2 linked regions of the Caenorhabditis elegans genome follow. The protein of the gene in region 1 purifies or fractionates together with the protein of each later gene. This does not show direct contact. Each region holds a gene or a part of one and is shown on either strand. Other genes may lie near its edges.

Region 1 (15,789 bases):
GAACAATCTACAAGAACTTGGATCTCCAAAAACTCATTAGTTTTTTCATCGCACCACTGCACTAATTGTTTACATCAAATTTGAAATTTACTTTGAGTGTTTATTTTGACAGGCCAAACTTGTTTCCGTTCTTTTAATCTGCGAAAGTTAACTAAATTCGCATGGCCAAACAATTACAATCAGAAAAACCGTATAAAAGCCCATGCAATGATCGAGAAAACATTAAGAGAAGGCAATGACAGTGCCAAAACTATACTATTTTTCAATCCGCGGTAAGTTTTTATTTTATTATTTTAGTCGTGAGTTGTCTTGAAGCCAATCAGACAGCCGTTGTTTTTTTGCTTGGAATATTTATGATAATTATTTCAGGATATGGGGAGTACATCCGTCTTCTACTAATTGATAATGGTATCAAATTTGAAGATATTCGCTTCCCATGGCAAAGCAACGAATGGGCAGAGCTTAAGAAAACAATGAAGTTCGGGCAAGTTCCATGTTATAAAGTTGATGGGCAAGAAATTGTGCAAGCTGGAGCAATTATGCGACACCTGGGAAGAGTTCATAGTTGGTTTATTTGTTGTGTGCAACTGTTAAAATAGATTTGCAGAGCTGAACGGATCCAATGAACAAGAAGCGACTTTTCTAGATATGCTTTTTGATGCGATTCGTGATGTTCGTTTGAAATATATTCGTTACGTTTATTTTGACGAGGGAAGTCGTGAAGACATGGTCAACAAGACCCTTCCAGAATCTTTGGAAAGATTGGAATGCCAATTTGAAATTCACCCCGGAGACTTTATTATTGGCAACAAACTTAGTTACACCGACTATATACTCTTTGAAGAATTAGATATCTATCACGTTTTGGATGGAAAGATTTTGGACAAGTTTCCAGCTTTGAAGGCATTTTGGGAGCGGATGTGGCAAAGACCAAACTTGAAGCCTTATCTCGAGAAACGAACCAAAGACAATGTTTGGATCAGTGCCGTTGAAAAGGGAATGAATTGATAATGTTTTTTTTTTCCTTTCTGTGATTAAATTCCCAAAAAATGGGTCTCGATACTTTTTGACAAGCTTTCTGAGCTCAAATTTTCTGATAGTGAGAAAATAAAGAATAATTTTGAACAATTTCATACGCCATTGGAGTTTTCTTATGAAATTTTCAACTACATAATCCAAAAATAGTCCTAACAATTACCATTGAAATTTTTCAAACAGTTGATTGAAAAAATCTACAAACCGCCGATAGTCGAATTTTTGAGATTCAAAAACTTTATTTAAGATTTAAAAAGAATCAATTTCGAGCCTTGCACAAACTAATTGGAATCAGCAAACATTCCACTCTGTTGCGCGTTATTTGTAATTCTATTTTTTCTTAAATTCACAGAAACCAGATAAGACTCTAAAGAATATCCCAAAATCTTTAGTGACGTATTTAAGGGCCCTGCATGATCAAACGTGCTGCGAGTATATGTTACAAGAAATGGCGGTATCAATCCAAATATTAGATTTGTGCATGTGTCAATTAAGGCAAGACGATTTACCTGAAAATACTTATTTTTTTATGCAATTTCATAAGCTTAAGAACATACTCTTTTAATCTCCCAGCTGATTGTCACGTTTTTATACCTGTTCCAGACGTATAATTTTAAAGACAATAACAACGACAAAACGATGATTATAGTGTACACAATCTGCAATAATTTCGTTTTTTCTTGTCATGAAAAACTTTAATAACTTTTTCGTAAGCCAGCCAATAAAGCAAGTAACAATCAGACATAACACATGCTGCATTTTTGCATCCCGGAGAAATTTCTATGGCATTTTGACAATAGATAAATAGCACTGATCCATCTATGAAAGGATATATGAAGACGATGATAATGATGAACTTGCTTCAAATATAATTTCGATAATTGAAAAACCAAACAGGGAAATACGCGGCCTGAAAGAATAATTTATACTTTTCTAATGCAGATTTTCGTTTCAAAAAATACAAAAAAAAAACTGAAAACAAGTGACATGGGGAACAGTAGTAATAGGTTCATTTTGGAATCGCGGCTTCATTTTGGATTGGCGAGATCTACTGAGACCTAAAAGAGAGAGCGCCACTCCAAAATGAACCTGTTACTACTGGGAACTCCGGAGTAAATATCCTTTACAACTAACCCATGTTCTATCAGTTGCAATTAAAAGAGCCAGAATGGATCTAGTAGATCCTGTTATATATCTTGCCCAGAATATGAAAAACATTGAAATTTCTACAATATGGGAGAGCTCTTGGAATTTGGCCATAGTAATCAAAATTGAACCAAGAAAAAATATAACTGAAAGAGTTTCGATGATTTTTTAATAAAAGCTTTGCACATACTTATAGTACTGAATACTATGTCCAACAAAAATCGAAAATAGAAAAGGGTCAAATCATGTGATTTCTTGAGTTTTTTAAACCTGAAAATAGATTTTTAAATGATGGAAAAATGTTGATATGGGCAGTGGCTACCAAAATATGTCTAGCAGTAATTTTGTGCAAAAGAATATTGTTATAAATGCGCGACCAATTGCTGTAACTGTAATGAATACACCAAAAAAATACATGTCTTCTTTATATCCCACTTTGTTTTCAAGTTAAGTCAGCACGTTTTCCAAAAAAATTAACACACTGGTTCATAATCAAAAGTCAAAACTTTTATTAAAATTTGGAGCAAACGTTTATTCACTGAAAGGTTATGCATTTTAGTTGTGGTTGTTCAGTACATAAAAACTTTTAAAAAAATCGACACGAAAAAAACAAAAAAAAATGAAGAAAAAGGAAATGGACAACGTTTATTTTGAAACTGTATTGTTTTATGGGGTTATTCAAGTAGTGTCGTGAAATTAAAAAGTGTATTTCAGTACACTTTTTGCCTTATTCAAGTAACATGAAAAACATGTATTTCAATACAGTTTGTGAAGTAATTTCGCGACATTTCTCGACATTATGCGACAAAAGCGGACAACTGAATGAAAAACACAGAGAAAGGTGTACCGCAGGGTGAAAATCTACACAATTTGCCGTCGCAGGAGAACAATTCTGATAAAACCACTGTGGAAAATGTGTCGAGAAATGTCGAGAAATGTCACGAAATTACGTCACAAACTGTATTGAAATGTTTTTGAAGTTACTTGAATAAGACAAAAAGTGTATTGAAATACACTTTTTAATTTCACGACACTACTTGAATAACCCCATTAGATAGATTTCGAAACAAAACTTCAGATTCTGAAACTCCGTGCCTAACAATGATGTACTTGAATTATATATGTATGTCAAAATTGTTAATATTAAAAAACCGCGCAAACTCACAGTATACCGCTTATAAATGTGTTCGTTGTTTTGCTGTTCACAGAATGCTTATATGTAATATATCGTTATAAATCTATAAATTAATATAGCATTGGCTGAATGACTAAACCTTTGTTCACGGAACCAAACTAGCATCTCAAATCAAATCAGAAATATCACAGGAAAATTTATTTTTCCTATTCTTCGAAAATAAGTTTTGAACGGAAAAACGAATCTCAGGTTTAGAATGAAAAACAGAAGTTCGCACAGATATTGTAATCTCAATTTAATTAGTATTCTTTTTTTAGGAAACAACCTTTCCAAATGGAATATATGATACAATTCAATTTAATGATTGCCCGATGTGGTAAACTCGATATGACCTCACCAGAATTCATAATTATTCTTAAACAAAATAAAAAATTGTATGAAAAGTTTTTAAGGTCGCAAATATTTTGTAAATCTAATCGTGGGTAAAAAATTCAAATGTGAAAGTTCATGACAAGTGGGTCATTTTCTTGAAATCCCCATTTGGATTGGCTAATGGCAAGAATTTACAGTATTTATCTAATATTGCCATATGTTTCCCGGAAAAATATGTTTAATGTACATATAGGTAATTATTGCGTAACTATTAACGACTAGACATAGAGGAAATCAGTAAATTGGATTCTATATCCGCATAAACAATGTGAGATTCAAATTGAGATACATTCAGTGCCATAATCATTCACAAATAATGTTTGTGAAAAAGCTTGTTGGAGTTGTATTATTTTCATCTTCTATTTTTTCAATATTCTCAAGCGTCTCAATATTTATTTCAGTGTTTAAACTCGCATTCATTTCGAGAAAAAGTTCAATATACGTTATTGCATTTTTCAACATCATTTCTGATTTGTTGCAACTATTTTATCTCTGCTTCTACTTTTCACTTTCAATAATTATCGATGTAAGTTTATTATTAAATTTGTAAACGTCTTTTTTATTCAGCAATATGCGATAGCAGGAGACAAAGTTGGAAGATTGAGCGTCTTTTTTGGGTTCATATTTCTCTCTGGCTGGTTTATGGAAAACCTACTTCAACCAACGATGGCTATAAATCGGTTAGTTTTCACTTTTTGCATGTTATTTTAAAGTTTACATCTTGTGCTTTCAGAATCTGTAATTTGTTCCGGCAAAACACCCCTGTGAGTTGGATTCAGATTTATGCATTCAGCACTAAATTTTCAATAAAAAATTTTCAGGCTTACAGAGGTGTTTTGCCCAAAAAAAGTTACAGATTCTGAAAACCCAAGATGTCAACTATAAAGTTACATGTGAATTTTTTTCTATCGCACATATTTTTTGAATGTTTGACTGTGAGATTTGACACTTTTAAATTTATTTATTTGTTTTCATTTTCAACTATTCAAATTTCAAACACAATATTAGACAAAAATCAATATATTAAACAAATGAGTGGGGGAGGAAAAACAAATTAAGAAGACCGAGTGAAAAAATTCTTTCGTTTTTTAACCAATTCTTTCGTTTTTTAACCCCGCTTGCGCTGCTCTAGCGTTAATTTTCTGGTTCAAGATTTCTCGTGATAACATTTAACAATCACAACATCTTCACATTCAATAAAACGATGCTCATGATGACTGTTCTTATCTCAGCTGCTTTGTTTTCTGCTGCTTGCGCACAATACTTGTTTCCATGCTGCGTGTAAGTTTGTTGCGTTCCAGTCTGCAATAAAAACAAAACAGTTTTAGATTTGTAATCGATTACACAGTCATGGCTTTGGAGCTAGTAACAATAAATGGGGTGCACTCATATACAAATTCCATGTTCCTTGTATACGATAGTATTTGTACGTCTATTTCAATATTTTGCTACATTGGGGTGTTCATATCAATTCGGAATTCAAACAAGAAAGTGTCTACCCAAATTCAAAAGCAAAGAAGAAAACAAGAGATTCGGTAAGCACGGAATGAACATTTACCAAATCTTTGTCTGGAAAATTTTGAAAATTCTAAAATGTTTTCCTGTTAATTATTGAAAGTGTATTTATTGATACTTCTCCTTTAAAAAAATTGTTCAAATAAACGACTCAATTCTACGAAAAATTATGTGGCAATCCAAACAACGAAATTCACTGATAAATGTTCAGACTGACTTTTTGGAAACATCGATTAATAAAATCCCAACAAGACAACCACTAAATTAAAAAAAAAGAGCGTATGAACCAATATAGTTTGGGGCATCAAGTGGGGGAAATAAGTTTACAAAAGGGAATAACATTTAAACGGCAAGCAAAAACTGATACGTTTAGTTTATCTCAGCTTAGACAACCGGTTCCAAACGGCAAGATTGGCAAGTGCTGGATTAACTTTTTTCAGGTACCTTCTCCAATTTATGTTCACTTCAGTTTTCTATATCACCACTTGGGTTATATTTGAAATACTGCAGTATATAATTCCTGACAAAAAGTTTCAACCACACGCAATCATACCAGCAATGATTATACTTAACTGCTCATCAAATTCTGTAATTTTTCTTTCTATTAACAAGGAAGTAAAATGCTCGTTCCAATGTTCATGGTTTATCGACAAACTGGGATGTAAGAAGGCAACTGGAAACAGTCAAGTTACTCCGGTCAATTTAATTTGAATAATTCAAATCTCTTTATATTAATGATACTAATAATAGTTTCTTTTAATAAATACACAAACATCGCTTTACGTATTTCAAGGGCCGGGAACTTTACAGTGTGGCAACAATCAACCACGTCCAAGGCTTTGTTTTTTCCCGCCCTTTTTTTTTTATTTCTTTGCCCTTTTTTTTTGGATGGAAAAAAATTTGGCCGTGGTGGAGAGTTTAACTGTGACTAAATTGTTTGTTTGTTTTTTCCGGCCCTTTTTTTTTCTTTTCCCTTTTTTTTTGGATGGAAAAAAATGTGTCCGTGGTGGAGAGTTGAACTGTGACTAAATTGTTTGTTTGTTTAATTGATGATTTTCCCACTGATTTGTCTACAAAGGGCATCGAAAAGCACCCAATATTTAGAGAACAGAAAATTTTGAGAATTACTGCCTTCAGAAATTGATGATTTTCCCACTGATTTGTCTACAAAGGGCATCGAAAAGCACCCAATATTTAGAGAACAGAAGATTTTGAGAATTACTGCCTTCAGAAATTGACAATTTTCCCATTGATTTGTCTACAAAGGGCATTAAAAGCATCCAATATTTAGAGTTGGTACATGAATGTGCGGGTGTCAGAGAGATGAATAATGGGTAACATGAAAGTAGTGGACGTAAAAGTATTAAACATGCATAGGACATGAGGTGCCAAAATAAGATTCATTGCGCTAATTTTTTATAGAACTTAATACTCTATTTGTGAAAAAGTGCCTTCGTAGTTTGGTTTTGCATTTCCCCCAGATGAACTTGGTTTTGGTACGAGTTTTACTATTTTTGTCTATTTTGAAAAATTGGTCAGAGTCAATATCAACTTTGTTCACTAGCATTTTCGACAAGAAAACTTTATCAATAGCTTTACGCCGAGCCTCTAAAGTTGATAAGTTAAATAGTTCATTACGTTGAATAGCGCTCTTATAGTCGGGGTCATCTGTTCTGATGTATTTTCCCTTTTGCCTGCTGTATAGTTTCCTTGTGAACGAGTTTTGTACGGATTCAATTGCTTTAATATCTTGTTTTTTCAACGGATTACTTACTTCGGTACCATATTCAAGTATGGTTCTCACAAAAGTTTTGTAAAGTAATGTATGGAGCCTTGTGTTCTTACTACAATAGTTCGAAAATATTTGATCTTGTTGCCTGTGACTAAATTGTTTGTTTGTTTTTTCCGGCCCTTTTTTTTTTCTTTTCCCTTTTTTTTTGGATGGAAAAAATTTGGCCGTGGTGGAGAGTTGAACTGTGACTAAATTGTTTGTTTGTCTTCACAGAGTTTGACAAATTTTCCATTAATACTATAAAAATTTCTATTTGAATTTCCATCGTTTGAATGAACTTTTGATCTGAATGATGTCATCATTGTGCTGTATTGACTAACATTGAGAGGCGTCAACCGAGCTGATAAAGTTCGAAACAGTTTGAATTTCATGACACACATTGTTCTCGTTTGGTTTTTTTGTGTCTAAAATTAAAATAATTGCCTTTTTCTGCAATTCCAGAAATGACGGACAAAAAAGAAAATACTTTGGGTGGTTGCTTGCAAGAAACTGCTGAAATAACCAATATGATGACATCGGTGAAATTGTGAGTGAGGAATTCAAAAAATAAGTGAATTATAATTTTCTCGATTGCCTTTCAATTAGAAATCATTGTGTTTGATATTTTAATTTCAGCCCACGAGAAGAGCCAACGTTTTCCAATATGCCAATTGAAATTCTGACTGAAGTAGTGAACAAGTTGGAACCAATAAACCGGTTAGTTATTCACAGTCAATGTGCCCTTCTAGTTTCTTATTTTGAAAATTCTTAAACAATAACTTGCTTAGTAGTGTATAATCGAAACATTTTGAATTCAAAAAATCAAAAATTGAAAAGGATTACCCGAAAAAATCGGAAAAGAAGTACAGGAAAAAAAGTAAATGATTATAATCTATTAAAAAAATAAATAGAAATGACAGGAAATTATTGAAAATTTTTCGTGTTTCAATTTTTTAAATATTGAACAATCGTACATCACACCCAAAGACATCACCAAAGAAATAATCTTCCAGACTTGTACTTCAAAAAGTTTCAAGAAAGCTACGAGAATTCGTAAACAACATGAATCCTGGTATAGCATTTCTTCGAATCGATTTCACTGCCGATTGGGCTCGTTTAATGGTAGACAAATATGAAATTATATGCTCAAAAACGGGAAAGTCCTGTCAGCTGAAGCTTCTCGATGAAGAAAAACACGAACTTCGGAAAAAGACAATTGAAAAATATTATTATTCGGATATAATTCTTAATGACTGGAGAGCAATAATTACAAAACCAAAACTTCGTCTAAACGAACTCTACATATGCTTGCTGTCTGGAGGTCGGACTCGTTTAAATTCGTTGCAAGATATCGAAAACATACTGCAGACAATGAAGCCTCTTCCCGTAAAACATATTCATCTACTTGGATATCTTTTCTCCGAACTTCCAGTAGTTTTTCAACATTTTCAACCTGGAGTTCTTGAAAATATTCGACTGCATTCGTATCAGGTGACAGATGATTTGACCGACCTCGTGACGACATCGGAGCAGTGGAATAAAGCAAAATCTCTTGAAATTACTGGATACTGTACTTTGCCAAAAGAGATGGAAAATTTATTTCATTTTGAACACTTCCAACTGTTGCTAACGCAATTTTCGAAAACGGACGCCAGCAATGTCAAAAAAGTAATATTTATTTAAAACATATTTTGAAAAATATTTAATACTATGTTTTAGGCCCTCAGGAAACCATCTAAATTTGTATCAGGAACTTTCGAAATTTTCATTTACAATCCTGCAGAAGTCGCGAGTGTTTTTGATCCTCAATATACTGGTGGCATTAATGGTTCCATTGACTACAATGTTCTCGAAGCGAACTCTATGTTCAGACTGATTTTTTCGCAGAAACGCATGATAATTGAAAAGATGAGCTAATTTTTGACAAACTGTTTGTTCTCGGAAATAAAGTTTTATTCTTGAAAGAAAACAGGTTCTGGGGTCTGAAATTTTTGAATACTCACAAAAAAGGAAGTTGCAGTAGTCTTTGGGAACTGGTCTTTAGGTCAATTTTTGTAAATTTGTAAATTTTTCTGTTTGAGGATTTCCAGGGTCTCACCAAAATTTGTTTCCAAGTAAATGAACGTCAAATAAACAACAGTCTTCTCTCCAGTAGTCAGCCAGATTTCCGCCAGATTCAAATTGCTGCCGGATGACACTTATTGTTTTATCGTTATTGTTAATTTTCTTGACAAACCACATATATTATTCCTTTTTTCTTCTTACGCCTTCCTTTCTTTGCTTACTTACACACTTTAAAAGTCCAATAAATCCCCGAAATGGTTTTTTTGTTCAAATTGTCTAGATGGTTATCTTTAACCTATTTCGAGACATTAAGTGACACTTTTTAAACATCAAATCTGTAAAAAAACACAATTCATCACTCCTTTGAGGATATGCCATAGCCGCGCCCATTATTTCAAAAAGGACAGCCGATATTCAGGTTTTAAGTATTTTAGCTAATTTTGAAAAAAAAATTAACAAAGTGGTCGGTCAGAAGTTGAGTGAGTCCTTTGAGCTTTATATTAACATTGAAAAGCTTTAAAATATATGCATTTCTTAAGCTTTTTGTTTCAGAGATGAAATATTCCATGAGAAAAATTGAATCAGACCAAATGGATCGCATTGCTCTTTACACACTTTTATTAACTTTTTCATTGAGTTTGATAGTTTTTCCGTTATATCGAAACTTTTTGTAAGAATTTTCATTTTCTGAAATGTTCAAAAATCGTTTTTATTCCAGAATTCCTGCTGATCTCTACACACATTTTCCTGCAATTATTCATCCTTATCGAGAATATTATTCCTTGTGAGTCGATTCTTTCTGCACTCCGTTTCAATAAAACCAGATGAGTTTCAGAACAAGAAACGTAAACAAATTGACACAAGGAATCGAAGATTCAGAAGCTACATACGATTTACCAACATCTGGCCAACTTTTCTGCTTTGTTGAGACTTCCAAAAAGTATTTCAATGATCGAGTGCCTTCTATGGCGTCTACGTGGTTACCTAGATGTGACAATGGACGGTTCTTTCTAAAAACACCCCTGGTTGATGAAAAAATTCCGTTTTCCACAGTTTATCGAAACTTAGAAGATTCCTACTACGATCTCTTCAGAAAAACTCTTCTCAGTTTTTATTACTCGTATACCTACATTTCGAAAGATTTTGATTGGTATTTGAAAGCAGATGATGATAATTATTTTATGATCGATCATCTTAAAGAGTATCTAGATACACTCGATGCTTCGAAACCACTGTTTCTGGGATACAGAATGAAACCTTTTCTGGTAATAAATGTTAGTAGGATTAAAATAAATTATTTCTTTCAGGAAGGGGGATATAATTCAGGTGGTGCGGGATACCTGTTATCAAATGCTGCAGTTCGGATCTTTGTGGAACATCTTTATCATGATGAGAAACGATGTCCTTATGATTGGGCCGAAGATCGAGGAATAGCGAGATGCTTGGCTTCAATGGGAATTTTGCCTTCTGATACAAGGGACAATGATGGTAGCTGTAGATTTCTACCGTTCCGTCCAAGTGAGATGCCCGGAATTCCTGAAGCCTACCATTATTATCCGTTAAAGGTAAGAGGGAACAAATATTTTCATATATTGACATCTTGTTTGTTGTGAATATTCTGAGCAAATATGAGTGACATTCTATTACCGACAAAGAAATAGGAATTTTATGAAGGTCTCAACCACCTTTTCCTCCGCCCGACTGTTACCAACAAAACAACCAACAAAATTCGCATAAAGAAAAAATTAAAATAATCTAAGAATCTAATAGACAAAAATATATGAGCTTTTCAACTGTGTATTAGCGACAAATTGATTCGCGGGGGAGTGGAGGGCGCCAGTAGGAAGAGAGAAAATTTTATTAAATTATAAATTCAATACACAAGTAAAGATTTTTTTCAGAATGGCTCTTTTGTATCCGAAAAGTTCATCTCACTTCATCGAATTTCGCCTCGGAAAATGATATTTCTAGACAGCATTCTCTACCCAAGCTCAGAGAGGCGCTTATTCACTCCAGAATTCTTCGATATTTTCTGATTTCTATTTCCACTGTGAAATTATCTAGTCATTTCTTCACTTATAAATTAGAAACATTTTTGTAAATGTAATGAGATTTTTTTTTCGAAATAAAAGGCTATGTTTTTCCCTCTGAAGTTTACAATTTTTTCAGTTTTTCAGTTTTCTGACACGTGTTTCGCATGACTCATATTTTCGTATTTCCAAATGAAAACACGAAAGAAAAGTTCCCACTAATGAGATTTAGACATGCTCAGTTGTATGGTATCAACTTCTAATAAAGAATGGAGTATACTGCATACCTTGATTTTAGAAGCTTTTAGCTAGTTTTCCTTACACATTTGTTTTTTCTAATAAGAAATGCCATTTTCCTCTGATTTTCTCTCAAGCAACCAATAATTTTCAGCAAACAAGAAAGGCTGATATTATTTCATAACCTTTTATTCAAAAGCTCCGCCCAACCCATTTGCGTGAACAGCTTTCCAGCTGTTGATCTTTACTTTTTTTAATCTGAAATTTTAGAAGAACACGTTTGTTGTGTTTATTAATTTAATCATGGAGTATTTTATCCAAGAAAAAGTTATGTCTAACATTTGCAATCATAAAATATTTATTATGACGTCAATTCTAGTCTTACTTTTATACATTTTAATGTGGTTCCGAAAAAGACAAACGCTAACAAGCTCCTTGTCGATTTTTGAAGTTCCATTAATTATGTCATGCTGTTCCATTACTATCTCGGCTATTTATCTACTTTTGAAACAATTTTTGAGAACAGAAAATTATGAAAGCGAAAGCAAAGTCAATATCTATAGTTTGATGTTTTACGTGAGCACAGACTTCATTACTATGGCAAATAATGTTGTTCTACCTTTGTTGTTCAGTCATACCCTATGTTTTTTCATCAAAAGCATAAAATTGTAAGTGAAAATAACACTTGGGAGAACTATTCTGGAAATGATTTTATGATAAGAATAGAGCGAGAGTTGTTAAAAAGTCATATCCTAGCGTCTGAGTTCTGCATTATGTATTTTGATAGGTGGAAATCGAAAACTTTGTTTTTACAATAAAAATGTTTATGACATAGCTTTTCAAACTTCCGTATAGCAAATATTTTCAATAGTTTTTGAGTGAAACCTTCAACAATAATCTTCATTTTTTTCAGCCGTGTTTTCATGGTCTTTATCAGTTTAGTATACACCAATTTAAAATATTTCATACTCATCAAACTCGTGCCAAATTTCAAGCAATTCTATTTTATATCTAACATGAACCCTGCAAACTGTCTGGTCATCAATCCTATCGACTTATCAATGATGTTTCTTACAGTATGTTTTGTTTTTGTACGACTACGATATTTGAATGAAACCTTAACCTATGAAGACTCTATCGTTATATTGGAAATTGTGGTCTTTATAGTAATCAAAGTTTATGGGTTAATTGCTGATATGATATCAATTAATTTATTCAAAAAAGAAATGCTTCTTACAATTATGATGAAAGATCTGAAAACTGAAGTGTTGCTTGCTAAAAATTATCAATTTAATCAATTAATACTGCCGTATCTGTTTGTATTTTGTGGAGTTTTAATACGACTAGATGATCTAAGAAAGAAAACAAAAGTTCAAATGTCTGAAACAAATGGAAATGGACAGCACAAGTGTAACATTGAAGGAAAAAATAATAATACAGCAAATCATTCTGATGTAGTTGGAGAAAATTTAGAGAACGAATAAATTGAAAATTCGTTATATATTTTCATTGGAATAAATTAATTGTTCAAATTGTGTTATTGTTCTTAAATAAATTTAACTATATTAATTTGGTTTCAGAACTTTAAAGGTCGTTCTACTTTCAGATTAATGCGTATATTTCAAAAATGAATTTGTTGAACATTTGATCAAGAAAAAGAAGGTTACGTTAAAAAAAAACTTATGCATATTACATTTAAACGTTTGTTCTATTTGTGTTTGGACCCAAGCTTCATTTCTTCAGTATTAGAAGTGTCTGTTTAATATGTGCAGATTGATTTATGTGTTTTCTACGAAAACGTGTATGTCAGAATACATAATAAATTGCGAAATCACCTGCCTGATCATTTGAATTTTCATTTGTTTTATTTTAAATTTTCCCATATTTGAAAGTTGTCTCATAGTCCATCCACTTCACTTCAATTTTCTTTTTCATACCACGAAATTGTTGGCAACGTGATATATTAATAAATTGTGAGAGAGTGCAGGTTGTGAGCGTAACTAACAACAAACATTTCAATTTTGGCATTGGAAACCACCGCACTTTTCATTTTTCGCAAGTGAACACTTTTCTTCAATTTCGAAAAAAATGTCGGATTCGTCGTCAGATGAGAAGTGAGTCAGCTATACATTTCTTCAAAATTTTATTGATTTATGTGTCGTAGTAAATTGTAAAATTTATAATATCCAAATGGAAATTGATCAAATAATATCAGGTTTAACGAATTCATCGACTTTTCTAGGTCACTGGCTTTTTATTATGACCGAAAAAAAATCTATTTCGGCACGTTTCATTGTAGTATCATAGTTTTGAGAACAATCTTTTTCAAATAAAAAAACTGGAATTGAAAATCTAGATTTTCGTGGCGAAAATACTTCAACACTTATTCTTCTAAAATCGATAGTGTTTGTGCACCAGTGGTTGTTTTGTTCGCAAACAATGTCTCAATGTCAATGTTCGAGAATTTCGATCAAAAAATGGTCTCACGAACTTTATATCTAGCTTTTTTGGTCTTGTTCTCAAAAGTATTATAATTTTCAGAATGGGTCTTCTTCTCCATTCGGAGACAGATTTTGGACTATCACTACTCCGTCAGCAGAACCTCACCGAGTCCTTTGTTTTCTCTCCGCTCTCCATTGCCCTCGCACTCTCTCTTGTACACGTGGCGGCTAAAGGGGAAACTCGTGATGAGATCAGAAAAGCATTGCTAAATGGTGCAACCGATGAGGAACTGGAACAACACTTTTCCAATATTTCTGCAGGGCTTCTGGTTGCAGAGAAAGGGACAGAAGTAAATGTGGCCAATCATATTTTCTCCAGGTTTTTGGAATACCTAAAACACAATTTTTAACTTTTTGCTTTTCAGAAAAACTTTTACAATCAAGAAATTATATTTGAACGATGTTAAAAAGTTATACAATGCTGGAGCTTCTCAATTAAATTTTGAAGATCAAGAAGCATCTGCTGAAGCGATTAACAATTTTGTCAGTGAAAATACCAAAGGTCACATCAAAAAAATCATCAACCCGGACAGTATTAGTGAAGGTATGTAAGCCATCGATACAGTCCATTAAATTCCAGTGTTTCCCTTTGAGAAAATACATTTTCAGAGCTTGTTGCTGTGCTGACGAATGCTTTCTACTTCAAAGCCAACTGGCAGACAAAATTTAAAAAGGAATCAACGTACAAGCGAGAGTTTTTCAGTTCAGAAAACTCCAAAAGAGAAACTGAGTTTCTTCATTCTCGTAATTCAAATCGAAAGTACTCTGAAAACGGCCAGTTCCAAGTTTTGAGTCTTCCGTACAAAGACACCAGTTTCGCTTTGAGTATTTTCTTACCAAAAACTAGATTTGGTCTCTCTGAAGCTCTTCAAAACTTGGACTCTGTCACTATCCAGCAATTAATGTCAAATACTTCTAACACGTTGGTCAATGTGAGTTTATACAATCATTAAATCCAATTTGCAAACTTCTAACATTTCAGATTGCAATGCCAAAGTGGAAAATCGAAACTGCACTTGGGTTGAATCGAGCTTTAATGGCCGTTGGAATTGAGAAAGCTTTCACAGATTCCGCAGATCTGAGCAACTTTGCAGATGGAATCTATATTTCACAAGCAGCTCACAAAGCACTTATTGAAGTAGGATCATATATGTCTGCTTTCAAATTAAAATTGTATTGTTTCAGGTCGATGAAGACGGAACTGTTGCGGCTGCAGCAACAACCATTTCATTTTCACTTACATCAGTTTTTATTCCGGCCGAAGAACCAATCGAATTCACTGCAGATCATCCATTCCTATTCATCCTCTCAAAAGATAACCATCCATTGTTTATTGGGATTCATAACTAGTTAATTGTTTCATTCTGTGATTTGTTTGAACTCAAAAAGAATGTTCACAATTAATAAATCAATTGAATTTTTTTTTTACAATGGGGAAAATTTTGCCAACATAATTGTCATCACTTAATTTAAGAATTGAACACTAAAAATTATTGTTGTGACTTAACGCTATGATATTGGCCATTGTCTACTATTCTAATTTAATCAGAAATACGTGGCATGTATACTTTTGGTATAGTGAATCGACAAAGTTGAGATGAGATCTAAAAAAAGAGATTTGTTCCAGCAAAAGAGACCTAGATGAAAATTCCTCAAATTTGTTTTCTTAAACTTCATTTGTATACCAAACCAGCAATTGTATACAATCCTAGTATTATACAAATATATACCAGCGATTTCATAAACTGATAACGTTTAAGAAAAAGTCTAAACTTTTGTAATCGTTTGCTTTTTGAAAATAATGTCTGATTCTCTACGACTCATATTGAAACAATATTTCCTTCGTTCCCATCCCATTACCACCTCCGTTCCCAACATTAACATGACTCGTTCAAGATGCATAGTATATAAGAAACACTTGTG
Region 2 (16,978 bases), on another chromosome or scaffold:
TAATTATGAAAATACTTATAACAATATTTTAAACTATTTGTTAGTTGGTAACTTTCTGATAGCTAGTTTGCCCACTGAGATAAAAGAACTTTCAAATGAAAGACCTCTCTTGGCTTAAAATACCCGCAACTCCGCGGAATATAATGTTATCAAAAAACTGGTGAATAACAAAATAATGTACATAAAAATTTCTATTTTTTGTTAGTATTCAATTTTTTATAACTATTGCGGTTGCGGAGTTATGGCAGTTTAAAAATTTAAAGATTTTTTAAAAACTCACTTCACCTACCATACTATTATCGAACACCTATCTCTAACGAAATGCTCACCACAAAATTTCCAATAAATTGTTAGATAAATAGTTTTACAAAACTTTAACGGTGGCCGAGATATAGCTAAAAAAGCACTTTGGGCAGGTGTTCCTCTGCAAAAATGAGAACCTCGGCCACGGCCCTGTCACCCCAAAGTCCGAACGGAAGTATCATGCCTAAAAGGATCCAGATTCAAAGTGACGTTAAACCAAAAAATTCGCAAAAATGGAAAATCTCTGGCAAGGAGGAAATGCAAAACGTCTTCTTTTTTGCATAGTGCTCTTTAAACGGGGGATCACAACACAATGACGTTAAGATATCACAGCAGCAGCAGAAAAATGAGAAAGGTGTGTATTCGCTGAAGAAAGTTCAAGGAGAAGTGATAAAAATTGATCAGAGAGTACTCTGATTTGTGTCAAACAATTATCATGGTATTGGTGTTGACTTTGGCAAAGTGGCCGCGGAAAAAAATTTGGTGGCTAAGTTTTATTTTTACGGCCACAAGGCAATTGTGCGAGTTTTGCAACATGGCCGCGAAAAAAAGTTGGTGGCCGAGTTTTCTGAAATTTGCCCAAAATGATCAATTCTGAAGGATACATTTTTGTGACGGTTAATTTTTTTTCGGAAACGTGACCGCTAAAAAAAACTTGGCCACCAACTTTACAAGCACTTTTTTTGACAAAATATAATTCCAAAAGCGCAAAAAATAGCCAAGAAGTAGGCGGATCCTATTTCAAAAATATATGAGAAACATTTTATGAATGAAACTGTCAGTTGACAAAAAAGTTGAACAAAAACCATTGTTAAAGTTAAAATTACAAAAAAAAATTGAAAAACCATTTAAAAAAAACTGCCAAGAAGTGGGCGGAGCCTATCCGGAGGTTTTATGATTTTTACAAATTCATTATTGCAAAATCTTAAATTGTTCTCTACCAGATAAAACATTTGTATTGCCAAGAGTAAATTCTATATATAATTTTATAAAGTAAAAAAAAGTGTTATACAGACCCCGCTATTATGAGTTTTCATAAAACTTCCTATGTTTTCTTTAATTTTTTTTTCTAAATTTAATTGCGAATTTTTACATAGTAACACATATTAAAACAATGATGATACAAAAATTGGAAAAAAAACCATTGAAACTTCCCAAGACACCCTCCGACAAGAAAAAGTGATTCCAATGCAAATCAGGCATCTCTATTTCTATTTGTTCCCCCACTTTTTCTAGCGACACTCTATAGCCGTGAGAACGTTTTTTCCATTTTTTTTGGAATAAATTTCACAGGTATCCGCTCGTTCCCCGTAAAACTCCAACTCACGTGCATTCTTCAAATGTCTTGTCTGCGCAAGAATCCGTCCGTTTGGTTTAGTATTGATCCAAATGTGAGTGATCGCGTCGCTTTTGCATTTTGAGATTATATCCTGGAAAGTTATTAGTTTTAGGATGGAGAAATTAGGGAAATACTGCAAAAAATTTGATAAATTTAGGATATTCTTTAATTTTTTCTAGAGTTCTAAAGAAAAATGAGACGCTCTAGAGAAAAGTTGAATATGTTGGTTGGCTTTTAAGATATCAGTACACGTTTAGTGAAAAAAAATATATAGAATAACATCTAATAAACATTTTGCAAAAAGCAAAATGGCAAAATCGGCAGATTTGCCGTTCTGAGAAAACTCCGAAAAATTAGAAAATTTCTGATATTTCTAGGAGCACAAATTTTTGAATAACTTGCTGAGGTCGGTCTACATAAAATTAAAAAAAAAAACCAATTTGCAGGGTTTGCGGCAAATTCGAATAATTTGTCGAATTGCTGCACCATACTCCTGCACCATATCTCACAGCTCTTGCTTTTCGCAAGGCTTTATTTCGGGTTATTTTACAGATCTAAAAACCGTCAATTACAAAAATATGAAAACTAATTTAATGAATATTTTGTCAGTTGGCCATTTTTGAATAACCATAAAATTAACCAAGAAAAGGAGTTTTCAAAATTTGTCGATGCACCATGTTTTAAATTTCTATTCGTTGATAGCTCATACATTGGTTCATGTAGCAATTTGTAAAAATATAAAGAAACATCCAATAGACACATTACCATTTGGCAATTTTTTTTCAAAAACTCGTACTAACTGATTGTGAGATATAAGCCCGAAGCCTAGAAGTTTAAGAAAAATCCCAAAAAAAAATCCGGAGGTGGTTATATTCCGTGATTTGAAAAGGCAGGCAGTCAGTTACACGCCCACAAATACACACAAAAAAGAAAAACGGGGGTTGTTGGAAAAATGGCGAAGGCGAGTATGTTTTTCGAACCGAAATTCAATTTTAACCGCCCGTCTCCATCCTCGTCCTCAGAGCTCTTCTCCTATTCTCCGCCCGTGGTTGTTACCCAATTTATGAGAGAAAAAAGGGACAAAAATTTGTGTATGGAATTTTTTTTTTGGAAATTTGGGTCAAAGTTTGAGCTGTCAGGAGGATTTTTGAAACTTGAATAGAATTTGAGAAATTTTTCTATAGATATGATATTTTACAAGACTTTAAATTGAAATTTTGATGTACAAAAGTTTATTAAAAGCGAAAATTTTTGTTGAAAAATTGAAATTTACCGAAAAAATCTAGAAGCGATATTTAAATTTGAAAATTAAATTTTTTTTTCAAACTAGAAATTGGGAAAAATTTGAATGAAATTTATTTTAATTATGTTTATTTTAAATTTACGAAAACTTTCTTAAAATGAAATTTTTTAGATTCTAATATAGAATTTTTAAAAAAATCGATTTTAGAATTGTTGTAAATTTTAGTTGGAATTATTGATGATTTTCACAATTATATTAGTTTGAAAAATTATGAAAAAATTTGAAAAATCTTATTAAAACTTGGAAGTTACCAAAATCACAGAATTCTGAATTTGAAATTTTTTCACAGCGTAAAATGCGAAAAGTTTCGAAAAAAAAGTTTTCTAAACACTCAAATTTGTTCCTAAAAATTTATGTTTTCAGTCAAACACCAGGTATCACAAAAAACATTGCGTGATAGATGATAATTTAGTGATAAGATGAGAGATATCAAATTTTTTTGTAGAAAACCAAGTCAAAACAGATCACTGAAATTTTTAGAGGATCGGGGGAAAATTGGGAAATTTAAAAATACAAATAAAGTGTCCAAAAATTTCAGTTTTCAAAAAAAAAAAGTCTAGTTTCCAAAAAAGTTTCTAAATGGGAAAAAGCTGTGAAAAACTACCAAAGAGGTGTGCTTCGTCCCTCTGGTAACTATTGTCTTCCGGCGGACCTTGTCATGACGTCACAGGAGTGGAGGGAAATAGACTTTATGTACATGGCCGCGGAAATAAAATAATTCGGCCACCAATTTTTTTTTGCTTAAAAACATAAATCACAGAATTTAGCTAATTCCAATATTGTTTTTTTGATAGGTTTTTATACAAAATTCCAAAATTTCAAAGCTCGAAAAAAACATTTAGAGTATTTTTTTGAAAATTATGCGAATTTATTCTGAATTTTTCTGGAGCATTCTGAAACTTTCCAACAAGTTCTAAAGTATTCTCAAATTTTCTGGAACTGTAAAAATCATTTTAGAAATGTTTGAAAATTTTTTAAATTTTTTTCCAAAAATTGTTAGCTCGAAAAAATGTGATGACGTCACTTTGAGGTAGGCTAATACTACGAACGTTATGGGTTGAAGTGAAGCTGCTCCAAAACTGAGCAAGAAAAATATGGAAAAAATAAAATGAAAACGAGGGGAGAGGGCACCGCCCGAGGCGAATCGGCTCCGCAGGTTTATGAAAATCGCCGCCCCCGTCTTTGTGTTTTTCGAACTTCTCTTGGCCAATTTGTCGTTTTTTCAGGACCAACTTTTTTATATGTTGTTTTTTTTCTAAATAGAGAAGCATAAAAATATCCTTAAAAAAGGAGTGAATGGGGTGAAAAAGTTGAAAAAGAGGAGCTTCCGGAGTTGGGGAGAAGGTCCCATGGGAATAAAGATGCTTGTTTGCACTTTTTTGGAGAAAGATTACAAGTGAAGTAGATAAAAAGCTATTCGGCGAATGAAAAAAAAAGGTTTTAAAAATTGGAATTTTTCTGAAATTCCAAATTTCAGAAACTTTTATAACTTTACATCGTCTAGAAGGTATTCATAAAAATTGAAAAAGGCTTCCTCAAAAATATTCCCAGAAATAGAATGTACGGAAAATATGTTTTTTTTTTGGGTTAAAACGTTTTTTTACAAACTTTAGTATAATCTCTGCGATTTTGGGATACTTTTTGAAAAATGGCAAAGTAAAACTAAGTTATTGGGTACTATCTGTTAATAAAAAAAACAGGACTCAAGGTTTAAAATTTTCACAAAGGAAAAAATTCACAAGTGTAAGAATTTACAGAAGATTTGAATTTTTCTCCAGCTTTCTATTCAGTTTCTGAAAAATCATTGAAAAAATTATATGTAGAAATCACGAGAATTTTCTCTTTTCTGAAAATTATATTATTATAATTATGTAAAATTCGGGAATGTTTTGGAATTTTCACAAATTTTCAGATAATTTTTTTTAATTCTAGGAATTTTTGAAAAATTCTGGAAATTTTCTAAACCGGTCTTATACATTTTGAAATTTTTTAAAAACTATCTTTAATTTTTTTTTTTTGGAATTTTCTAAACCGTTCTATAGAACTTACAAAAAATTTTTTAACTTCTGACCACTCTGAAATTTTCTTAATGCTGCCAGAAAACCATTTTGAAAATCAAAAGCTGTGATAAGCTCCGCCCACAAAATGTGCGTGGCAAACAATCCGAATTTCTTACCTTAATTAGAAGACTAATAGCCTCATAAATATCGTTCAGAACTTCGGTCATTTTTTTAAAGCAATTTTTTCAAAATTTGCTCAACCGACCGAGCTTCGAAAAGAAAACCAGAAATCTAGGAGGCAATGGAGTTTAGGAGCCGAAATTTAGACCACGCCTCTTTGCTCCTGAAGTAGGGGGCTCACATGGGATAATTTGGAATTTTTTATTACCAAATGGGCGATATAGTAGCTGTAATTAGAACAATTTAGTTGGTGTTAGAGAAGTTTGGGGAATTTTAAAAATTTGAATATATATTTTTTTTAAATTTTGATAGGATTTTCTAGAAAATTCAAAGAATAATTTGCAATTCAAACTTCAAATTATTTCGAGTTTACAGTCGAAAAAAATTTTTTAATTTCAATTGACACAGTGCCAAAAATGGCGGGAAAAGTTTTTAAATTCGAAAAAAAAACTAGAAATTTGCTGAATTAAAAAAAAACTACTTTTTTTCTATATTTTTCAGTGTTTTTAAAGGAATTTCCAATGTACTTGGTAAAATCAAACCAAATTTCTCAAAAAAATTTTTTTTGCAAATTTTAATTTTTCAACTAATTTTTTTGAAAGTAAGGAAATACCTTTTTAAATAAAAATTAAAACTTTTATACTTTAAAAATAGCCAAGAAATGAGCGGAGCTTATTTTGAAATTTTGAATTTCTTCTTTAAATAAAATTCTTCTTCAAACTGCATATGCATAGTTGGAATGATTTTCAAAACTCAAAAACAAAAAGAAACTAAACCAGTAAACATTTTTCAAATTTGTTTAGGCACTGCCCCTTTCTTGGCTTTTTTTGGCGGGTTTTTACTTTTTTCTGTAATTTTCTCGTTTTTTTTTGAATTTTAGCAATGAAAATAAAAAAAGTTCATAGCCCAACAAGAAATCTACAAGCGTCATAGTTTCCGTTGGTGATTTTTCAAACAAAAAAAAAATTCCGCCTAAACTTTCAAAAATCAAAAATCTCAACACCGCCATAAAAGTCGAAAAGGAAAGGGTAATAATTCGTCGTTGGTCTCTCATAAAATGTGGTGAAGCCGAATAAATGGCCAAGAGCACCAGCAGCAGATTTTGCTCCGTTAAGAGCCAAGAGCCACTGTGATCTTCTAAGATGTGGTCCCATGGGGCCAACTTCTCATACAAAGCTACGACAATTGCCACGTGGCAAAATGTGCTCATCCACTTTTTTACGTCATATTGGTGAGCCATTTTGTAAGCGGAATATTTTAAGGTACACCTATTCGTGAGTAGAACTTTTTGGGAATTGTTTTCATCCCGTGTTTCCAAAAAAGATATTGCCATGAGAGGTTTTTTCAGAGGTTTTCAGAAAATTTGAGTTTTTTTTTTGGGTTTTTGAGACTCGGCCCAATCTTTGGGTGGGATATAGTTAGTCACTTTTGGTTTTTCTGACACTTTTTTTCAGCAAAATTTCTAAAAACTATTAATAAAAAAATTGGAAATTTTTGAAAAAAAAAACTGAATTATTTTTATTTTTCAATTAAAAATATTCAAAAAAAAAAAAAAAAAAACTAACCTCTAATCGCATAGTTGCTTCGACCACAGGTGTCTGATTAAACATGAGCACAATTTGTAGAATTCGGCCCTCGGCAACTGCGGTATCCCAACATTTTTCCCATTCCGGGTAAAGGGTCTTCTTCTTTTGGACTAGTCGGGATTCACCTGGAAAATGATAAATAATTGAATAAAAATTTATTTGTACACATTGAATTCTGAAAAAAAAAACACTTGGGGTTTGAAAATTATTAAAACTATATTTCCTAAAATTAAAAAAAAACTTCTGATTTTTTTAATTGAAAAAATGTTTCGCAAATCATTTTTTGTTTTAATATTGAACTTAAATTATTTATAGTACCAGCCGGTGTCGTTCGAGCCTACGGCTCGACCTCCTCCGACTGACTCAAACTAAAGTTCGAATATCCCTCGGAATTACTTTTTTGGTTTGAATTTAAATGAATTTGATTTTTTTTTGAAATGAAATTTTAAATTTTACGAAAACTTTCAAACTAACGTGAGTTTTGCGTGTTGGCATAGCCTACATTAGACGGAAGAAAACTCTACTTTATATATAGTAAATGATTTTATTGATTTCTCTCTTTTTTTGCAAAAATTATATCAACTGAGAACAATTAATGTCAATTAAAAAAATCTTATTAATTGATATTAAAAATTTTATGCATTAAAAAATCTGTAAAAAAACCAAGAAATGGGCGGAGTCTCTTTCAACTTTTCAACTTTGATATTAAACAGGCCCCTCCCACTTCTTGACTATTCAGTTTTTTCAGTAGCTTTTCTACAATTATTTTAAAATTCACACGAATCGAATTTTTAAAAAAATATTTTAATTGTTATAAAAATTGTTTTTTAGGTAGAGGTTCCCCTTGAACTTAGATTTTTCGAAATTTTTTTCTTTTTCAAAAAAAGCTAATAACTCACCATTCACTTCAATCTTCTCCTTCACATTAACAGCCGGCTGCAAATCAGTTGCTGAACATCCGGCCGGAAGTAAGTCAACTGGAACGTCCGCTCGAAGAAGCTTCAGCCTGCAAAAAAATGGAAAAATGTTTTTTTGGAAGGCTTCCCTGATGTGGTGTGCACTTTTTCAGAGGACAAAAGGACCGAGAGAGGAGAAAATTTGTGATTTTTTTTGGTTTTAGCTGGGCTGAGCAGAGAGACAAAGGGGGAAGGCACTTACTGCTGCAAAGATTCTGTGGGGGTTTTTTCACTGAAATTTTTTTGTCCAAAGTTTGTAGTTTATAGCCTGTGACGTCACATGTTGACTTTAATTTAGGGAATTCCGGAAGGAAAATTAAACTTTAATTTTAAGAATTTTTGTTGTGGAATTTTTTAAACTTGAAAATTTATTAAATTTAGATTTTAAATTTTACTATAAAATTGTTAATAAATTTTTGGCGGAAAAGCAAATTTGATTTAAAAAAACAAAATTCAAATTTTACTTTTTCAGAAATTTTTATAAGACATTACAAAGTTGAGTATTCTTTAATTTAATTTTTTGCAAAAAAAATGGCCCAAAATTATATTCGTCCATATATCAGAATTATGTGGCTGGAAATCATAATTTTTACTATTTCAAAAAGTTTTGGCGAGGAAAATTCTAATTTGAATTTTTTGAGAACTTTGGCAAGAATCTCAAAATTTTTCAATTTTTCAAAAACATCTCTAGCGGAGAATCAAAATTTGGGTGAAATTGTTTTGTTTCAAACTCAAAATTTGCATAATTATCCATGTGATAATTTTCAATTACTCACCGACACGCATTCTCAGCCTGTGCCATCACGAAGTCCGCTTCCAGTGATGTCTCGCTCTCCGGCGGCGGATCCAAAGAGAAGATGTCGATAGCCTGAAAATTAAAAAAAATAATAAAAGGAGTAAACTCAAAAATAGACTGGTACTAGTTATATCATACATAGATTAATTTGAAAAAAAAGTATTAAAAATTTTTTGGAAACTGCGTAGAAGCCGAAAATAGGCTCCGCCCAATTGTTGGGTGATTTTTTAAAAAGAATCAGATGTTTTTTTAATTTTTTAAATAATTTTTTTTTTATATTCATGACTTCAAAAAATTACAAGGCACCATAGTTTAATTAATAAATTAAAAAAAATTAAATCTAGGCTCCGCCCATTTATTGGTTCAAAATTGTATTTTTCTAAAGCTTATTAAACATTTAAATTATTATTTACAATGCGAAAATCTTGCAATTATCATATTTAGCTTTCTAAATCTCTTCTGCAAAAAAATAAAAAGAGCAATGTGCAGTTGTGGCTGGAGAAGAAACGTCATGTCAGGGGTGAAAAAATGCAAAAAAAAACGAAAAAAAGAGAAAGCGACTCGTTAAATGTATTATCTTCAAATTTCGGCTCTGGTAGAGGGAGGGGAGGGCGGATTCGGGTCATGTCAAAAGTTGGGCGAGAAAAGGCCGCCCGGATTTTGGAAATGTATAAGGGGACCCCCGCACCCTTGAATAAAACACTTGAATTGGGAATTGATGAAAAATTTGGAATTTGATTGACAAAATGAGGTCTAGGTCTAGATGAGGTTTTAATCTTTCAAAGAATAGAGTGTAGAGGAAAAAGTCTACTAATTTTTTTAAATTTTTTTTTACAACTTATTAGTGCATAACTCAAAAACCACTGGTCTTATTAGAAAACTGTCAACTAAGAACATAGTCATCACAACATTTTTAATATTTTGGCAATTGGAAACTTTTTGATAGTAGTGATAAATTTCGAAAAATACAGGATTAATCTGTGTGAAAAATTTTAAAATAATAATTCTGAAAAGTTCTGAAAAAATTTTAGCTAAAGTTTTTAAAGTTTTTAGATCATTTTTTGAATCATTTCTAAAATAATTTGTTATTCAATTTCTTCCATAATTTTACGATGACAAAACGGAATTTTTTTTCAAAACTTTTTAAAATAAAATTCTGGAAACTGGAATAAATTTATGTTTTGAAGTTTTAAAAAATTTTTTCTTTTTCAGCAAAAAAAAATTGCAGGTTAGTTTTGTTCCTATTTTTTTTTCCAAAAAAAAATCCTGCTCAAAATTTCAAAAAAAAAATGTTTAAGCTCTTCCTGAAACCACGTAGGTACAAATAAGAAAATAGGAGGTTCCAATTTCAAGGTAGGCAGATAAGTAGTTTGAAAGGCGAGTCTATAATTAAATGGGCTCAATCGAATTGGGCTCGGAGGAGCCGAAATGTAGAGTAGAAACAAGGAAAAATACTCACTTTGCAATTTCAATACTGAAGTTTAGAGCAATAAATACAAAACATTGAGCACGGCATACAAGAACGAAAAAAATCCCGATAAAAACTAGAAAAATTTGTGAAGGAACCAAGAAGTTGGCGGAGCCTATTTTAGGGAAAATTTAAAAAAATTTACAATTAGTTTACGATTGGTTTTTTAGAATCTCTTGGTTTTTTTTTTCAAAATTTTGTATACTGGAAATCTAACCGCGCAAAATCAGAAAATTTCAAAAATATATAAAAGTTCAGGTAATACTTTTTAAATTGGCATAAAACTAAAATTTCAGACAAAAATATCCAGCCAGACAATGAAATCATATCATCGACTATTAGTCACCGACGTCTTGGGAGGCAAATTGACAACAAAAAAAGAAAAAGGTGATAAAAATTTACTGATAAAGGGCATCACGCTGCCCCCCCCCCCCTCCCTCAAATTTCCAAAAAAAAATCCACAGCTTTCAAAACAACAATTTTAATTTATTTCGAAATTTGCTCAATTTCCAAGTGTTCTACAAAAAGAGCAATACGAGGATATTTATCAAGTGTGGGAAAGTTTATCGATAATGGATACCCGAAGAGAAATGGAGACTGCCGACGGACAAGAAATTGACGAACGTATGCAAATAGCGGCGGTGATCGGCGGAGAAACGGCGACAACAAGAAGAAAAGGAACAGTTGGTAATCGGGAAGGGACAAATGATGGGGGACAAAGATTCGTTGAAGACCTAGACAAGGGAAAGGTCGACGCTGGAACTGGTTCTGTAAGGTAAGGAAAAGGGGGAGGGGGGGGGGGGGCCAAGTTTTTACAAAAGTTTGAAGGGAAAACAACTAAAAACCTTAGGTTTTGAATTGAAATTACACGATTTTCCGTACATTTCCGTCAGGTTTAGGTCCTAAATTCAATTAAACAGGCGTTTTTATTTTGGTCGAAAATTTTTTGTGCCAGCCCGCTGGTTTCAAAAATGACCGAAAGTCGAAAAAAATGGAGTGTGGACCAGGCTTATTCATGGGCCTACCTACATACCTACATGCCTACCTATGTGCCTGCTTATATGCCTACCAGGCCTACGCGCTTACCTACAAAAATCCAACGTTTGTCGTGCTTAATATACGCCTACCTATGTGCCTACCTACGTGTGTACCATTATTCCTATCCGCTTGCCTACTTGGCTGGTACGGCAAAATGAAGTGAGAGCAGGGAGAGCGAAAAAAAAACCAAACAACTTCCTACGCCTGCTTTGGTGTCTACTTTTGCCTACATGCCTACTTGCTTACCTATTTGCTTACCTACGTGCCTGCCGACTTTACTAAAATTAAACATTTCAGAGACACGTGGCAAATGCGACTGAAAGGAGTTTTCATTGCGGTTACTGTAATCACCCTATCATACAATATTTTAGCAGGTAAATTTTGCAAAAATTGGTCAAACATCTTTTGCGGGAATTTGAACATTTTAAAAGAAAATTAAATAGTCAAATTACTATCAATTAAAAAAAATTTTGAGCCAAAAACCAACATTTGAAAAAAAACCGAATTTTTTGAATTTTTAGCATTTTCGCTCCAAAACCCAATTCAAAAACCTTAAAACAAGAACCACATTCTAAATTGCACACACAAAAATGCCATTTGCAGCGAGCACACCCCGTCCGTCTCGATTCTCGGTCATCACGAAAATGGCACCCGCGTACTGCCGACTCAATTTGCCTGCGAGACTCCAGAATTTGATACTTGATGTATTTGTTGTGGAATTTAATATTATTAATTGACTACAATCTTTTCCAGAAACACAATGAAATTCGCTCGCAAGTGGCTTTGGGACAGTATGCTGTTGATGATGATTATCTTCCTCCGGCGGATAATATGGTTAAATTGGTGAGTTTTGGCAACTCTATGGGGTTGTTGAGGTTACCGAGGAGTAGCGGAACCCGAAAATTGTCGGGCCCTACCCAAAAAATGTCGGGCGCTACATTAAAAGTGCCGAGCGGAACTAAAAAAATGTCGGGCGCTACATAAAAAGTGTCGTGGAGAGATGCGTGGAACCCGAAAAGTGTCGGTCGCTACTCAAAAATGCCAGGCACAACCGAAAAAATGTCGGTCATAACGCAAGAATTGTCGGAGACAGCGGGGCGGGTCCTTGATTGTTTCGGTCGCTGTCTAAAATGGGTCGAGGAGTGCGGTTCGGAACACAGAAAGTGTCGGAGAATGATGCGCGGAACTTAGAAAGTGTCGGGCGCAACCCGAAATGTGCCGGGCGCTATCCAAAAAGGTGTCGGGCACAATACAAAAACTATCCCGGTTCAAAATTGTAAAATAGAATCGCCAATTTTTGGAAAAAAACTACTCATCAAGAAAGAAATTCGAAAAAAATAAATTCTTTCTTGTAGGATTGGGATTGTGAACTCGAATTGGAGGCTCAACAACGTGCTCAACAATGTAATTTGCAAAAGGAGAATTCGGGTCGACAAATGAATGGATGGGACGAGGTTCGCGGCGAAAATGCCTTCTATTTCCGGACCACCGATGGATTGGACGTTTCGGGGGCCGTTTTGGTGAGTAGTTGAAACACTTTCTCTCTAAAATAAGCAAAAATAAGTGTCAATTTTTTTTCGAATTTTCGAAAAATTCCGTATCTTTCAGCAAATTTTCAATTATTGAGAAGCTAGGAATGTTCAGAAAAATTGGGATTCTATTCTGGAGGAATCCCAAAAAAAATTCCGAAAGTCCTATTTAATTTTCCAGAAAGGAATCCAGAGAATGGGTGATGAGATTGCAATTGCGGGGATCAAGAACTTGAAGCTTTCACGGTACGATAGTCGGATTGGACACGCGACACAGGTAAAATCAATACATGAATTTAGATGTTTTCCTACATTTTAAGCCTAATATCAACTGAAAAACTTGAAAATAGAAATTGAAAATTGAAGTAGTTATGGGAGTTTGAAAATTTTGAATTTTTGTTTAATTTTGTATTTTTGTTGAATTTTTCAAAAATTCGAAATATCCAAATATTACGACTCTCATAAAACTGAAATAAAGACTTTCCTAGCAAGACTGAACTCAAAAGTGTTCAGATCCTATGGAAAGAGACACGAAAACTGGGATGCGCGGTACAAGAGTGCCCGGCTCGACAAGATGGCTCACTCGACGGACAGAAATACAATGTGGCTGTCTGCAAATACTATCCCACGTGAGAATTTTGAAAATTCGAAAGAAAAACGGGAAAAAAAATATGTAAAACATTTTTTTCAAATTTTTTTCGGCAATTTTATTTCCAAATTGTTAGTTGAATATTTATCCAGCTTGATGTCAAAAACTGTGTTTTCCATTTGAAAAATCGATATTATTTGATCAACTGCTAGGTAGAAAATTGAAAAATTAAAAATAATTTCAGCAACAAATTTCTTTAAAAACCTGAAAAAAAGTTCCCGTTTCGAGGCATATTTTCCTTGAAAAAAGATATTTGAAAATATTTATTTAGTCTGAATTGTGTCATTTGACAAGTAGTATTTAAATCCCTTGCCTCCTCAAAAAATTCTAAATTTTCAGTGGAAACGTGTTCAAATCCTCCACACCAACCTCAATCTACTCAGTTGGTGACGTTGCAAGTGCCTGCTCCGAAGGAACCTTTGGGGATCCGTCAACCGGACTTTGTGTGGCTGCCACGTGGCAAGAAGGGTCTAAGGAAAAGTGAACTGAGGGTGTGAAGAGAGAATTATAAAGCAGTTCTCAAGAGACGGAAAATCCAGAAATTGACAGCAATTTTGTAGTAGTCAGAGTAGGGAGGCACGGAGCAAGGGACAGAAAAACGCAAAAAAAAAACAAATAATTCAGATGCATTCCGAACTGCTCTGATTGACTGCGATTTAAGGAGCCTTCTTTTTGCCGTGAATTGCTCTTAAGAGCCAATTCTGAGGCCTATGTTTTATGGATGTATATGGGTGTGAGAAGAGCACCCTGCGATTTTTGCAAAATTATAGGTGTTGGGAGCAGGGCTGGGACTTTTTCGTTTTCGCGTTTTCGTTTTTTCGTTATTTTCGGGGTTTTGACGAAAACGAATTTTTTCGTTTTCGTTTTCGAAAGTGTTCGAAAAACGAAAATAGAACGACTTTATTTAAACTTGGTTTTTTCTCTTTTTTTTTTTTGGAACTATCGCCGAAATTTTGCTCTCCGGTGTGGATAGTATTGAAAAATCAATTATTTTCTCCTCAAACTTATTACTGAAGATCAACTTTAAGAACAAAAAATGCAACAGTTCTCAGTTTTGGATAAAAATTAAACGACTCTTTTACGTCAAAATAGATTCATTCATTTTATGACAGGACGTTTCCTTGTTCAAACGATTTGTTAATTGGTCATTAAAACATACTTTTTTCCGCTGAGTTATATATAGGATGTAGAACTTAATGCCTTTTTCGAAAATAAGGATTCTACTGTAGCTCAATTTTTAATCTGAAATCGTGTTTTGAACATTTTAATTGAAGAAATAACTAATTATGCACTTTTTGACTAATATCTGATTACCGTATATTCTCTATCAGTGCTGCATGTAACACTAATTTCCAGGCGCTTTTCGAATCCAGCACTATTAGAGACTGCAGTACTACTGGAGATGCAGCACTAATAAAGAATATATGGTAATTTGTGAAAAGTTTTCGAATAAAAAGTTTGAAAAAATTTCGACATCGGAAATTGTTTTCAAAACAAAAAAAAACAAAAATTTTCAAGTATCATCAAAAATTTCTTACTATTAGATATTGCAGAAAAAAGTTGTATTTCCTGCTTGAATAAATTTCTAGCCAAATTCAATACTTTCGGTAAGCCAGCCCAACATTCTTTGGAGCTCTGAACAAAGAAACGTGCTATCATATTATTTACATATGCATCTTTTTTGAAAAAGTGAGTTAATGAGCAAAGTAAGTCAATGAGAGAGAATTAAATAAGTATTTGCCAACAAAAAAGCTTTTGAGGCAACATATGGTCTAAAAACCGTAAGTACAGTTTGTGCCATTTTCGTTTTCGTTTTCGTTTTCGTGTTTTAAAACGAAAATTTTCGTTTTCGTTTTCGAAAATGGAATTTCGAAAAAGTCCCAGCCCTGGTTGGGAGATGAGATGAACATGCGATGTGTACTAGCCTGGCAAAGGGAGGGGGAGGTGGCCGATGAAAAAAAAACAATTGATGGCCTAGTTTTCTATAATTGTGGTCACGTAGCCAAGAGATGTTGAAAAAATAATTCAGAAATCTCGTTAAAAACGGAAGATGGAGGGTTTTTTGAGGCAATGGGCTTCACAACATGGTGCATCGACCAAAAAAATGTTCGAGCAACATTGGTGGCCGAGTTTTTTTGTTAGGCACACGTGGTGCCAGGCTGTCCCATCACGATTTAATCTACAAAAAATGCGGGAATTTTTTCCCCAGAAAATGTGACTTCAGCACGTTCTTAACCATGCGAAATCAGTTGAGAAGTCTGCGTCTCGTCTCCCGCATTTTTTGTAGATCACAACGAAATGGGGCATTCTGACACCACGTGTAGGCAGTCATGTATGTATTATGAATCGGGCGGCAATGGTCGTTCGACAAATCCGCAATTTGCCGGTTTGCCAATTTGCCGGAAATTTTCAATTCCGGTAATTTGCGGATTTGTCGGAAATTTTCAATTCCGGCAATTTGCCGGTTTGCCGATTCGCCAGAATTTTTCCATTCCGGCAATTTTCCGATTTACCGATTTGCAAGAAATTTCAATTCCGGCAGTTTGCCGTTTTGACGGAAATTTCAATTTCCGCAATATGCCGATTTGCCGGAAAAAATTGTGCTATGTATTATAGTGGAGAAAGCTCGTTTTCTTGAAGAAATGAACTAATCGCCCTAAAACATGGTGCATCGACTATGAGAAGTGTTTCAGCTAAATTGATGATCGAGTTATTTTTTTATTTTGCCGTCCAGTTAGTTATGGAGCACGGTCAATTAAAAATTAAGGAGAAAATAAATTATGGATCACAGCGCCTCAGATCGGGAGAGAAGAGCTAAAAAAGTGGTTTTGGCGCGGGAGCGCATTTGCTGCAGACGTCGCACGAATTGGAATTAATGTATAGCAAAACAGTAAAATATCGCGTTTTTGCTGGATTTTAGGGATTTTAAAGCAATTTTCAACATGCGGGACCGCCCAGAGACTGTTCGCGATGCGATTTACTTCATTTTAATATAAATTTTTCCCAAAATAAGCTCGAAATGAGCTCTGAATTTCGGCGGATCTGAAAATTTTTTTTGAACAAAAACAGAATTTTGCAAATAAAAATTGATTTTAGAGCAATTTGTTGCATAGATGTTTAATATTAGAATTTTTATTAATAGTTTGAATCTTTCTAAAGAGTTTTAGTCATTAATTTGACTGTAACACAGAAAAATGATTTTTCTTTACAACGAAATCGATAAAAAAGTAAAGCAACATTTATCAAGGGAAATCTTGCAAAATTGGTTGAAAAACTTAAAAAAATCCAAGATTTCACTAGAATAGAGCTATAAATTAATCAAAATCACTAAAAATACAAATAGTTCTGATCAAATTTTAATGTTCTAATCTACCAATGGATCTATGCCACGCCAAATTTCTTATGTAAGGGTTGCTCTCCAATTTTCCTTAAAAAATGGCTCAACTACTTACATAAATGATCAAATTAACATTTTTTACAAGTTTGGTGTTATATTTTCTTTTCCTTAATAAGAAACCATCAGGTTCTTCCTACCCTCTACGGCTCTAGATACCTTAACTTCGACAATTCCTATCTACTCGGAGAGGTGAGATACCAAAAAGTGATCAACTAAGAACTTGTAGAGCACATCAAAAACTATGATATTCAATTTAACCTACGTTTTTATCTTTCAAGATGGGGGAGTTAGACGTACATTTGTATTGCATACTTTTTTGTTATTCTACTGGCTGCTCTAACTCCCTCATCTTGAAAGATAAACACATGATTTTAATTAATTAGTATAGTTTTTAATATGTTCTACAATTTCTTAGTTAATCACTTTTTGATATA

The links.
Region 2: the proteins of fbxa-105 (region 1) and tpa-1 fractionate together in Caenorhabditis elegans (co-fractionation; one large-scale study listed by BioGRID). This does not show direct contact.

Annotation. Positions count from the first base shown.
Region 1 is NC_003283.11:7,383,735-7,399,523, reverse strand, and holds fbxa-105 (F-box domain-containing protein), read left to right. Parts: upstream 1-7,494; 5' UTR 7,495-7,498; coding exon 7,499-7,581; intron 7,582-7,670; coding exon 7,671-7,751; intron 7,752-8,047; coding exon 8,048-8,702; intron 8,703-8,753; coding exon 8,754-8,951; 3' UTR 8,952-8,995; downstream 8,996-15,789. Other genes in the region: gst-41 (glutathione transferase), read left to right, coding at 236-272, 370-564, 608-1,008; srx-9 (7TM GPCR serpentine receptor class x (Srx) domain-containing protein), read left to right, coding at 4,065-4,274, 4,316-4,428, 4,901-5,029, 5,077-5,283, 5,704-5,974; C02H6.1 (N-acetylgalactosaminide beta-1,3-galactosyltransferase), read left to right, coding at 9,653-9,768, 9,817-9,882, 9,934-10,363, 10,406-10,663, 11,000-11,134; C02H6.3 (G_PROTEIN_RECEP_F1_2 domain-containing protein), read left to right, coding at 11,669-12,033, 12,279-12,849; srp-6 (Serpin domain-containing protein), read left to right, coding at 13,454-13,479, 13,907-14,185, 14,232-14,410, 14,476-14,798, 14,849-15,004, 15,052-15,216.
Region 2 is NC_003282.8:83,543-100,520, reverse strand, and holds the start of tpa-1 (Protein kinase C-like 1), read right to left. Parts: upstream 8,542-16,978; 5' UTR 8,470-8,541; coding exon 8,444-8,469; intron 7,900-8,443; exon of another isoform or gene 7,870-7,899; intron 7,718-7,869; coding exon 7,611-7,717; intron 6,837-7,610; coding exon 6,691-6,836; intron 1,734-6,690; coding exon 1,631-1,733; intron 1-1,630. Other genes in the region: scl-23 (SCP domain-containing protein), read left to right, coding at 10,504-10,706, 11,267-11,343, 11,573-11,673, 11,723-11,812, 12,325-12,489, 12,680-12,775, 13,012-13,127, 13,487-13,631. UniProt on the Caenorhabditis elegans protein: Diacylglycerol (DAG)-dependent serine/threonine-protein kinase that phosphorylates a range of cellular proteins. Phosphorylates mlk-1, a component of the JNK pathway. Involved in axon regeneration after injury probably by activating the JNK pathway.